3 linked regions of the Cricetulus griseus genome follow. The protein of the gene in region 3 purifies or fractionates together with the protein of the main gene of each other region. This does not show direct contact. Links are inferred from orthologs where the notes say so. Each region holds a gene or a part of one and is shown on either strand. Other genes may lie near its edges.

Evidence for each region.
Region 1: the proteins of Wwp1 (region 3) and Smad7 purify together in Homo sapiens (affinity purification with western blotting; 3 studies listed by BioGRID, with this or other methods). This does not show direct contact. The link is inferred for Cricetulus griseus from reciprocal best matches to the Homo sapiens genes WWP1 and SMAD7.
Region 2: the proteins of Wwp1 (region 3) and Spart purify together in Homo sapiens (affinity purification with mass spectrometry; 5 studies listed by BioGRID and IntAct, counting the BioPlex papers as one, with this or other methods). This does not show direct contact. The link is inferred for Cricetulus griseus from reciprocal best matches to the Homo sapiens genes WWP1 and SPART.

Annotation. Positions count from the first base shown.
Region 1 is NC_048595.1:164,538,768-164,541,571, reverse strand, and holds the end of Smad7 (mothers against decapentaplegic homolog 7), read left to right. Parts: intron 1-157; coding exon 158-696; 3' UTR 697-2,210; downstream 2,211-2,804. UniProt on the Homo sapiens protein: Antagonist of signaling by TGF-beta (transforming growth factor) type 1 receptor superfamily members; has been shown to inhibit TGF-beta (Transforming growth factor) and activin signaling by associating with their receptors thus preventing SMAD2 access.
Region 2 is NW_023276806.1:96,034,062-96,037,718, reverse strand, and holds part of Spart (spartin), read left to right. Parts: intron 1-387; coding exon 388-564; intron 565-2,077; coding exon 2,078-2,201; intron 2,202-3,657. UniProt on the Homo sapiens protein: Lipophagy receptor that plays an important role in lipid droplet (LD) turnover in motor neurons.
Region 3 is NC_048595.1:132,927,875-132,931,531, forward strand, and holds part of Wwp1 (NEDD4-like E3 ubiquitin-protein ligase WWP1), read right to left. Parts: intron 3,471-3,657; coding exon 3,296-3,470; intron 1,852-3,295; coding exon 1,797-1,851; intron 1,710-1,796; coding exon 1,625-1,709; intron 1,512-1,624; coding exon 1,383-1,511; intron 217-1,382; coding exon 141-216; intron 42-140; coding exon 1-41. UniProt on the Homo sapiens protein: E3 ubiquitin-protein ligase which accepts ubiquitin from an E2 ubiquitin-conjugating enzyme in the form of a thioester and then directly transfers the ubiquitin to targeted substrates.

The DNA.
Region 1 (2,804 bases), about 32 Mb from region 3:
ATCGACTCTACCTGGAGTCCTGGCTTACCCTTACTCCCTCTTTTTGTTTTGTGCTGGCTATGGGGACTCAAGAGCAAGTGTATATGTATGTCTTTTGATTTCAGGAGGGAAAAGAACCTGGTCACCACCGCCAACTGTCTGCCATTTTGTTTTGTAGATTCCCAACTTCTTCTGGAACCTGGGGATCGGTCACACTGGTGCGTGGTGGCATACTGGGAGGAGAAGACGAGAGTGGGGAGGCTCTACTGTGTCCAAGAGCCCTCCCTGGATATCTTCTATGATCTACCTCAGGGGAATGGCTTTTGCCTCGGACAGCTCAATTCGGACAACAAGAGTCAGCTGGTACAGAAAGTACGGAGTAAGATTGGCTGTGGCATCCAGCTGACGAGGGAAGTGGATGGCGTGTGGGTGTACAACCGTAGCAGTTACCCCATCTTCATCAAGTCCGCCACACTGGACAACCCGGACTCCAGGACGCTGTTGGTGCATAAGGTGTTCCCTGGTTTCTCCATCAAGGCTTTCGACTATGAGAAAGCATACAGCCTGCAGCGGCCCAATGACCATGAGTTCATGCAGCAGCCATGGACGGGCTTCACCGTGCAGATTAGCTTCGTGAAGGGCTGGGGCCAGTGCTACACCCGCCAGTTCATCAGCAGCTGCCCGTGCTGGCTGGAGGTCATCTTCAACAGCCGGTAGTTGTGTGGGGAGAAGAGGACAGGACGGAGCGTGAGCCGAGCAGGCCACCATTCAAACTACTTGCTGCTAACCTTTCCCTCCCGAGTGCTTGCTTTTCATGCAAACTCTTTGGTCGGTTTCGTTGTTACCATTGTTGGTGTTGTTTTTTGTTTTTGTTTTATTTTTGTTTTTCCTTCTCGTTGTCCTTGTTTGTGTTTTGTCTTGTTCTTTGAGAAATAGCTTGTGATGAATTAGTTTGTTTTGGTTTTTTTTATTTTTTTATTTTTTTGAGGTGGTGGGTGTGGTCGACAGGACACCCCGACATGAAAATGGGAAGCAAAAGTCAGCACTGCCAAATATGGTATATGAAAGTGGGTACTGCCTTCCCTTCGGATCGGCATTGTCAGGAGTGGATGTTCGGTCGTGTAGGGTTGTGCATGAACGGCAGATGGGGAGATGCTTTTTGTGTTCCTTATGAATGTCCCCAGCTGAGAGTCTGCAGTTTCAAGCTGTTTGTCTCTCGAGCCCTTTGGACATGCTCAGTGGGGCAGAGGCAGTACCTGGGCAGACTGGCAGCAGGTGTTCCAGCAGCTGCCAAACTTTGCCCCAGCCTGCCGAAGCCCCTGCCCTGCCTCCCCCCTTTTAGGACACGGGCCTATCCACAGGCTTCTGAGAAGCCAGCCTGCTAGAGGCTGAACCAGAACCAATTGTTTTCATCCCTGTCTTACTGCCTCCTGTCACCCCGCTGCCATTGTCATGTCTGTCTTTTTTGGCCATCTGCTCCTGGATCTCTTTCTTGAGATGGGCTTCCTAAGGGCTGCAGGGACAGCCCAGTCACAGTATTGCTAACCCAGGACCCTCGGGCCCTTCAGCCGGTCCCCCTGCTGTGGTTTTTCATCAGGTTTCTCCCAGATGTGGAGAGTCAGCTCAGCACCCCATCCCCAGCCTGTATGTTGAGCTCTATAGACCAGGGAGGGGCATCCCTGGGAGGGAACTGCTCAGTGGCCCCCTTCCCAACAAGAAGGGTGTGGCCTGTCATAGCGAAGGTACCATCCTAGGCTGACTCCCAGCTCTTCTCTCAACTCATACACTCGTATGATACTTTGACACTGTTCTTAGCTCAATGAGCATGTTTAGACTTTAACATAAGCTATTTTTCTAACTACAAAGGTTTAAATGAACAAGAGAAGCCTTCTCATTGGAAATTTAGCATTGTAGTGCTTTGAGAGAGAAAGGACTCCTTAAAAAAAGCTGAGATTTATTAAAGAAAAATGTATTTTATGTTATATATAAATATATTATTACTTGTAAATATAAAGACGTTTTATAAGCATCATTATTTATGTATTGTGCAATGTGTATAAACAAAAATAAAGAAAAGATGCACTTTGCTTTAATATAAATGCAAATAACATGCCAAATTAAAAAAGATAAACACAAGATTGGTGTTCTTTTCTATGGGTGTTATCACCTGGCTGAATGTTTTTCTAAAGGAGTTTATGTTCCATTAAACAATTTTTAAAATGTATACTTCATCCCATGTTGTTTAGCTGCTTTTTCTTTTCCTTGGAGGGAGGCTGGGAAGTTTACCAGTGGAGACAACGGCGAATGGGCCTGGGATCTGGAGACCACCTGCCTTATGGGTACCCTTTTGTTTGGTGTGGCTGCAGGTTTCCTCATGGTGCATTGGGAAATGACGGGAGGGAGTCCTCTGCTGAGTGTTTGGAAGTTGGTGGGTTGAGGAGAAAGGGTGTGTCACTGGGAAGATGGGGTTGGTGGCAGAAGAGCAGGTACATCCTCAAGAACCAGGTTCCCTTGGCTCATGCTAATTCTACACTGAGCTAGAGCATCTTTCTCAGTAGAAGGGACTTTGCCAAAATGAATTCCAAGACATTTCCTGGGGATTGGAGCCCCAGGAAGTGATAGAGAATAACTGCCCCACAGTGATCAGAGGGATGAAGTCCCCACCTCCTTCCCTCTCAAGTGATGACTGAATCCAAGCTTCACTTAAGGCTGTCTGCTAGGATCTTCATGATTGATAGGTTCTCAGCCCTGTGGTCCAACTCATCCCTGGGCTGTTGCTGTGAGATGCCTCGTAAGTACTTTACCTGCATAAGCTGAGCTGAGAT
Region 2 (3,657 bases), on a different chromosome or scaffold from region 3:
TGCACACAGTAGCACTGGCATCTGTAATCCCAGCACAGCCCTGTCAAGCTAGCAGGGCAGAGGCAGCAAGATCTCCAGGAATCCAAGATATTCCTGGCCAAATAGCATCCAAGAGACCTCTCAAAACAACAGTGGTTTGAAGGTGAGGACCAACATCCAAGACTGTTCTGTGATTGTCACATGTGCTTCATGGAATGAGCACCCATGGATACACACATGGATAATCACACACAATGTGTATACACACTAAGGAAAACAGCAACAGTAGTCACCTACACAGTCAGACATTGGTATTTGAACGTGTGTGTTATGAGCACATGGTGCAATGTACCTGGAGGAATGTCCTGTAAAGGCCAGCTGAGCTAAGCCTAGTCCTTTATGCTCCAGGCAAACTGGAATAGAGCAGAAGGAGAAGATGAATTCCAGATCCCCGGGAGAGCAAGACACCCCTCTGAGTCACCGAAGGAAGCTTCTGGCACCTATGTCAGGCAGGCGGGTTCTTCAGGTTCTTCAATAGACCAAGGCAGTAAGGATGCACGGCGTAAAGGAAAGCGTGGGAAAAAGGCAAGTTAAAGAGGTAGTGGCAAGTGTGTCCACAATCTGATGGCCACACCCCACAACAGCATGTCACAAACTGGTCACAACCCCAAACATGGTTGCCAAACATTTGTGCTCACCTTGTGTTTGAGACGGACTCTAATTCAATTTTTCAAAAGATTTTTATTTTTACCCTAAGGACCACATACTTTTTTTTTTTTTTAATATTCCCTCTGTTGGTTGGCTGAGAGCTTGCTCTGGATTTGCACTCCTTCCCCAAATAAACAATAAATAATTGAAAAGTGGATTGTCTGTGAAATTGTGAAGAAGAAAACTCATTCTGCTTTTGCTCTTGTAAAACATTGTCTTAATTATTCTACCTACTATTCCTTGTTGATAATTTCTAATTTATCATATACACTATATATCACATGCATGGAAAAACTTAGTTCTAGTATTTCCTAATATTTGCAGAACTGAGCACTGCCTGTGACTTCAGGCATCCACTGGATCCCATGCAGACAGGGGAACTGCATACTCATTCCTCGTGGCCTGGGTGAGAATGGGTGGTCACTGCTTTGTTTTTTTACGTCTTGGCAATGTGATAGTCAAGAAATTGTATTTTAGAATATTGTGGTTTACATTCACTTTGTTTTGGATGATGTTGGGTACTCTGTATCTATTCCTCTCCACCCATTTTTACTCTTAGGTCATTAATCTTTTTCTTCTCTGTCTTCAAGAGATTTATATATTGGAGACATTGGCCCTAGTGATACAGATTTTCTTTGCATTTTACTGGCAGGTAGCTCTTCTCCAATAAAGAAGTGTTGGTTTGTTTGGGGGGATTTTGTTTTGTTTGTGTTTGTGTATGTGTATAAATTTCACAATCTTCCATTTATTTGTTCATTGTAAGTCAAGTCCTTTGTAATCTGTTGGGCACAGAAAACCTTTGTTTCTTTTTTCAAGTTATTTTATGACACTTTGAGGTCTATGGTTATCCTGTTTGAGGGTTCTTAGAATGGTGCCCTTGGCTGTGAGTTTGGGTGTTGGCCAGAATCTTTGCAGTTGTCTATGCAGTGCTGGTGTTCCCAGTTAAGTGGAATGGCAGGTCATTGTGTATCTAGATATTCAGGTTTCAAATTGAACTTTTTCTTCTATCAAAACCAATTTACTTGGGTACATCCTTCTTTATTGGCTGAGTCATTTAATCTTTTAAGCTTATCGTACTATATACATGCAAGTTTGAGGAGTGATATCCATGTGACACAGGTCATAAACCAGTGAGAGAAGACACAGGCTAGCTTGAATATTATTTAGTAGATGCTGTGTTGGAGTTACAGTTCTACTTACATCACATCAGTAGGAGCTTGTTTAAAACCAGACCCTTTTCAGTTTTGTGACAATTCTGGTTTTCTCTCTTTAGCAAGTTGGATGTTTTCAATAACCTCAGCTAGTATTTGTTGGCAGTTTAGTATATAATGCTTTCAGTTTCCTTTGCATTTCACTAACCTTTACATTTTGAAACATTTTTACTGTTTAGACTAAAGACTCTTCAAGTGAAGAAGTTAATTTGAGTCAGATTGTGCCCTGTGAGCCAAGTTCAGAAGAAAAATCGAAAGAACTCCCCGAATGGAGCGAGAAAGTGGCCCACAACATTCTGTCAGGTATCACAGGGCTGTCACACCTTGAACCAGTAAAAGTGCTGCTTATAGATGTGTGTATGTTAAGTAACTAATAAAAATACTGACAGATGGGCAGGGCTTCTGAGAAGGTCGCCATTTCTGTGTAAGTGTGTTATTGCAGGATCCCTCAGCTATCAAAGGGATGTGAGCATAAATCATAGTCCTGTCTCTTGAGTGCTCATCCTTTCTCCCCTTCCCTCAGTACCATGTTCTGGGGTTTGTGTCCTCTAAGATCCCCATGTTGAAGTGCCAACCCTCAAAGTCACAAAATAGTGGGGTCTTTGAGCAGTGCCTGGGCTGTGAGGGAGGAGCCTTTGTGAGTGAATAGACCTGGGAGTCTGCCTTGCTTCCAGTGTCCTCAGGGTTGCCTCTCCAGCATCCCTGCTTGGACTTTCAAGTCTCAGGCCACAAAAAGCCAATCTCTGCTGCTTATCAACCACAGTTTTGCAGGGTTTGTTACAGCAGCAAAGTCTAAAATGCCTTTCAAGAGAATGAAAAACAGTTGGTTAGTCTTTAGAAGTGTGATAGCTTTCTGCTGCTGCAGCAGAATGCCAGAGGTTGTTTCATGGTTTAGGAGGTGGCAGTCCAGGGGTGGGTTCCTCTGTTGCTTTGGGCCTCTGATAAGACTGCCAGACAGGAGTAGATGAGAATCTGGGGAGCAGCAGCAGCAGCAGGGGCTGAGGTCCCATACTGTCCTTTGAGGTAATAAGGCTTGACTTAAGGTCTCACCAGTTAGGTCCACAGTACCTCCCAGCAGTACCTGGACCTCATGCAGCTTTCAGGTCACAGAGAACTGTACTGCATTCACACATCTAATAATTTGATGGGCTTCAGGATGATGGGATACTAACATTGGCCACTTACAGACTGGGGGGGAGGGGCACATAAAACGTGAGGAAACACATGACATGTGACTGGAGACTCAGTAACCCCTCATGTGCCATCACTTCCCTTTATCTAGTTATTGAATATCAAAGCCCAAATATAGTAACATCAGTATTCTAAAAGTATCTATGATAAAATAATTGAAAACATATCAGGGTGTCAGATGTGTTTTCCCTCAGGTCTCAGTTCCCTTTGCCAGAGGGGGAAGCCATGATTTGAGTTTTCTATTTTAGTACAAGTACAAATGACTGATTTTTCTTATGTCAGTAAAAGTGAATAATAGTCCAGAAACTGTAGTGGTTAGCTTTGGTCCAGATAAGTCAAAGTTACCACCAACCTTTCATTCACTCAGCAATTGTTCATTGTTTTCTATCTGTCATGTCAGCAATACTGAGGGCAACCTATGCAGCTGTGACTATAAATAGTGAATATTTATCACCACACAGGTGTATAAAGGATCTAAGGCACTGCCATGAAACACCGTGTTTACCATTGGTTATGGTGTCTCTGGGTTCACCCTGTGTGTCTGTATCGTGCTTGGTGACAAGGCCTT
Region 3 (3,657 bases):
CGGGACACATTGATCTTTACATGACTGGGTAGTGCATTAGACTAAAAACAAAAATATCACAGCATGTAAGCCACAGCATATGTATTCCATAACTATCAGACTAAATTATTATAAATGAGATTTATTTACCACTGTAGTACCTGGCACAAGTAACGGAAGTGAGCAAGCTTCCACCTGAAGCTGCGTTCGTAAGCAATCTGTGGACCACCTTTAGTTCTAAAAAGAAGCATAACAAATAACACTGTAATATAATTATGAAACAGTGTGCGTCAGATTGTAGTATGACTAAAGAAAGCTATTTACAGTCGATAAATGGTGTATTCATTAGGACAATAGAGGCTTGAGTCATGAAGATTGTCCCATCAGCAGAACATATGCACGAGAGAGACTCCAAGTAGGAACAGGTCTATTGAGAAGCCCTTAGTTTATAGAAGGCCTAAAGTCTACTACAGACTACTTAAAAAGAACGTTGGATAATTCTTTTTTTTTTTTTTTTGTACTATTGTTTTTGTGTGATAAACTATAAGCAGAATTCTGATAATTCTTAAAGCTGAAGAAGTCAAGGATTCTAGATAAGAGGAACAGGAGGAAAAAAAAAAAAACCTAGACCTCATCTTAAACCTGATCTGAACAAAAACAAAGCAAAGCATAAGTAATTCTTGGAGCAAGCTGGACAATGAGAAAAGAGGCAGACACAAGAGTCAGCTGAGAATGAGACCTGCTTCTCCTGCCGAGAGAGTCTTAACAAAAAATACACGGAAATTCAGGAACTTTCATGGTAGAGTGAACACAAAATGCTGTCTTCTGCTGTCACAGTCATGGAAGTTCATTCACCCAAGAAAATTTATCAAATACTTAACAGGGACCTGGCATTCTCTAGACAATGAAAGCATTACTCCCTAGAAACATGGGGAAAGAGTGGCTGTTTTGTATATAATGTACCATTGAAGGAAATAGATAAAAATGAAAAGTAAACTACATATTGTGTGTTTTAAGGAAATAAATGGCTAATAACTTCTTAAAGGGGCCTTGTTAAAAGAAAAAAAACAAACAAGAAAATAATAATATAATCTCTCTCTCAAAGGTCATGGGAAGATAAAAATGAGCTAACATGTCTAAAATGGTTAGAACAATCTTTGGCATATAGTAGTTGTCACACACATATATGCTAATGTTATTATATACAAAATATATATTATTAAATAAAGAAATGCCATACCACAAATCCATTCTGGAATTATATAGAGCAAAACCAGTTATAGGTAGATATTACTTGTGCATGTTTTCTTGAACATGGCTTGTTTCTAAATTTGAAGCTGCATTAGAGACTAGACCTCCTGTATTCACTACATAATATTTTTGAAGTTTGGGTTTCCACTTACACAGATGACTTCCCATTGCGAGGATCTTTGAATGTTGTTGTTCTTGTGTTATGATCAACAAAGTACCTAACACCTTCCCGAGTATACCTGATTTCCCAGCCTTCTGGCAGGGGTTCTTCATTTGGTAAGCTGTAAGACAAAAAAATCACAATCATATGGTGGGTATGTTTCAGGTACTTATAGCCCACTGACTCCATCCATCTTCTCATGTGTAATAACTTAAGACTTTACTATACACATACCCTTGAGTTCTGGGGTCTTCCCATTGGGTTGTTTTTGTATTATGATTCACAAAGTAAACTCTGTCTGTTGAATCCACTCTTTTTTCTAAAACATAAAGTATGAATAACATTCAATAACAATTTGATACCTATATACCTTATACATATTTTTATAAATACCATATCAGCTTACCCCATCCTGGTGGTAAAGGTCCATATGGATCATTTTCTGCAGCTAACATTGAAGCCTGGTTGAAAAAGAGGTTGCAATATAAGATAGCAGTTTTAGCCAGAAGTATACTAATATACTAAGCAATTAACAATCATATCTTAGAATTTTTAAAAAATGTTATAAAGGAATATGAATACAACAATTTCAAGAAACAATGTTCAAAAATATTATGAAGAGCAGCCACCAGCTGATATAATTATTAGTAAATCATTTAAAAATAGTGTAGTAAAATCAAAAAGCTAATTTCCTAGTCCTTTTTAAGGAGTAAGAGGAGATGGGTAATTAGAGATAGAGATTATGCCATTTAAAGGAGACAATATTATTTGCTCAAAAATAGGTAAATCATTATAGTATAATTATTCTGCAAAATAATTATTCAATGGTAATATGTATACATCTTGATGAATATTTGATAGGACTGCCACCAGACAGCACTAAATATCCATTTTTATCTTATCTTTCTTGATAATGTAATCACTAGCTTTGTTTGAGGTAACAATGTGCCCATAAGGAATAGTCCACTGAATCTGGATTAGTAAAGTGACCAATTCTAGCCAATGAGGCAGAAGCAGGAGGGTTTCCTTTGCTAAACTGCTAAGCAAATAGGCAGGGGCTTGCTAAGTACAAGGGCCCTGCTACAGGAAACCTCTCCCCTTTCAGTTTACCCTTTCCTTTCATGGCAGAGACTCTGGAAATCAGGCCAAGGGTAGAAGCTCTTTATGTTCAAAATAGCAGGCAAAATGCATGGCAATAGAGGGTGCAGGAAAGATGCATGGCAACAGCCGGTAGAGATGGTGAAGGTAATGTGCATGACAATAGATGGTAAAGGAAATCTGCATGGTAAAAGATGGTACTAGTAAAATGCATGAGGAGATGGTGCTGGTTCAGTTGGTGACAATAGATGGTGTAGGTAAGCTGCATGACAACAGACGGTGCAGATAAAGTGCATAACAATAGCTAGTGTAGGCAAGAGGCATGATAATAGAGCAGGCAAGATGCACTGAAATAGATGATACTCTAAAAGGCAGAACTCAGCTGCTTGATGGCACTGTAAGCCAGAGAATGATTCTTTCTTGTTCCAGCCCTGGTATTCTATTGAAGTAGCTTAATTTGCATCCATTTAAGAGGACTGTGCTACTTAGTAGAAAGTATTTTGATACATACCCAATACCTAATTTTGTCCTGTTTACAAACTTTAATGCACACGAAGTCCTACACAGAACAAAACAAATGTACTATATACAGGATGAACATCCTAATCTAAAATCTAAAATATTCCAAAGACAGAAAAATTTCAAGAATGCTTATTTATTTAGACAAACCAGAAGTAATATTAAAGATTAGCCAAAAATAAAATGAAGCAAACAAACTATTGAATGTACTCTACATATTTTAGAAAGCCACCAAAGTAAGGGAAAAGTAACATTAACACCTCTAACACCTTGTAAATTGCTAATTACCGAATAGAGGTATCGTTGGTTGAATTGTTGCATAGCTCCCTGCAATTGATTCCGCTGAGATTGCCACTGTTCAAAATTTCGAACAGATTCCATGGTAGGCCGCTGCCATGTGGTTGTTCTGGTGTTATGATCCACATAATAAACTCTTCCACGATCATCAACTCTTCTTTCCCATCTACCACAAATAAGCAATAAAAATGAAGCAATGAGTCATTTCCTGTTAAATTAAAACATACATATTTTTACTTTATCTATTGGCATTGCTAGGGATGTGTAGGGGACACCATACACACGCCTCCTCCAGGCATTTATCTTTGCTAAATTCCTATTCTATCACAGACAGACTTTCTCCTCGCTTCTTC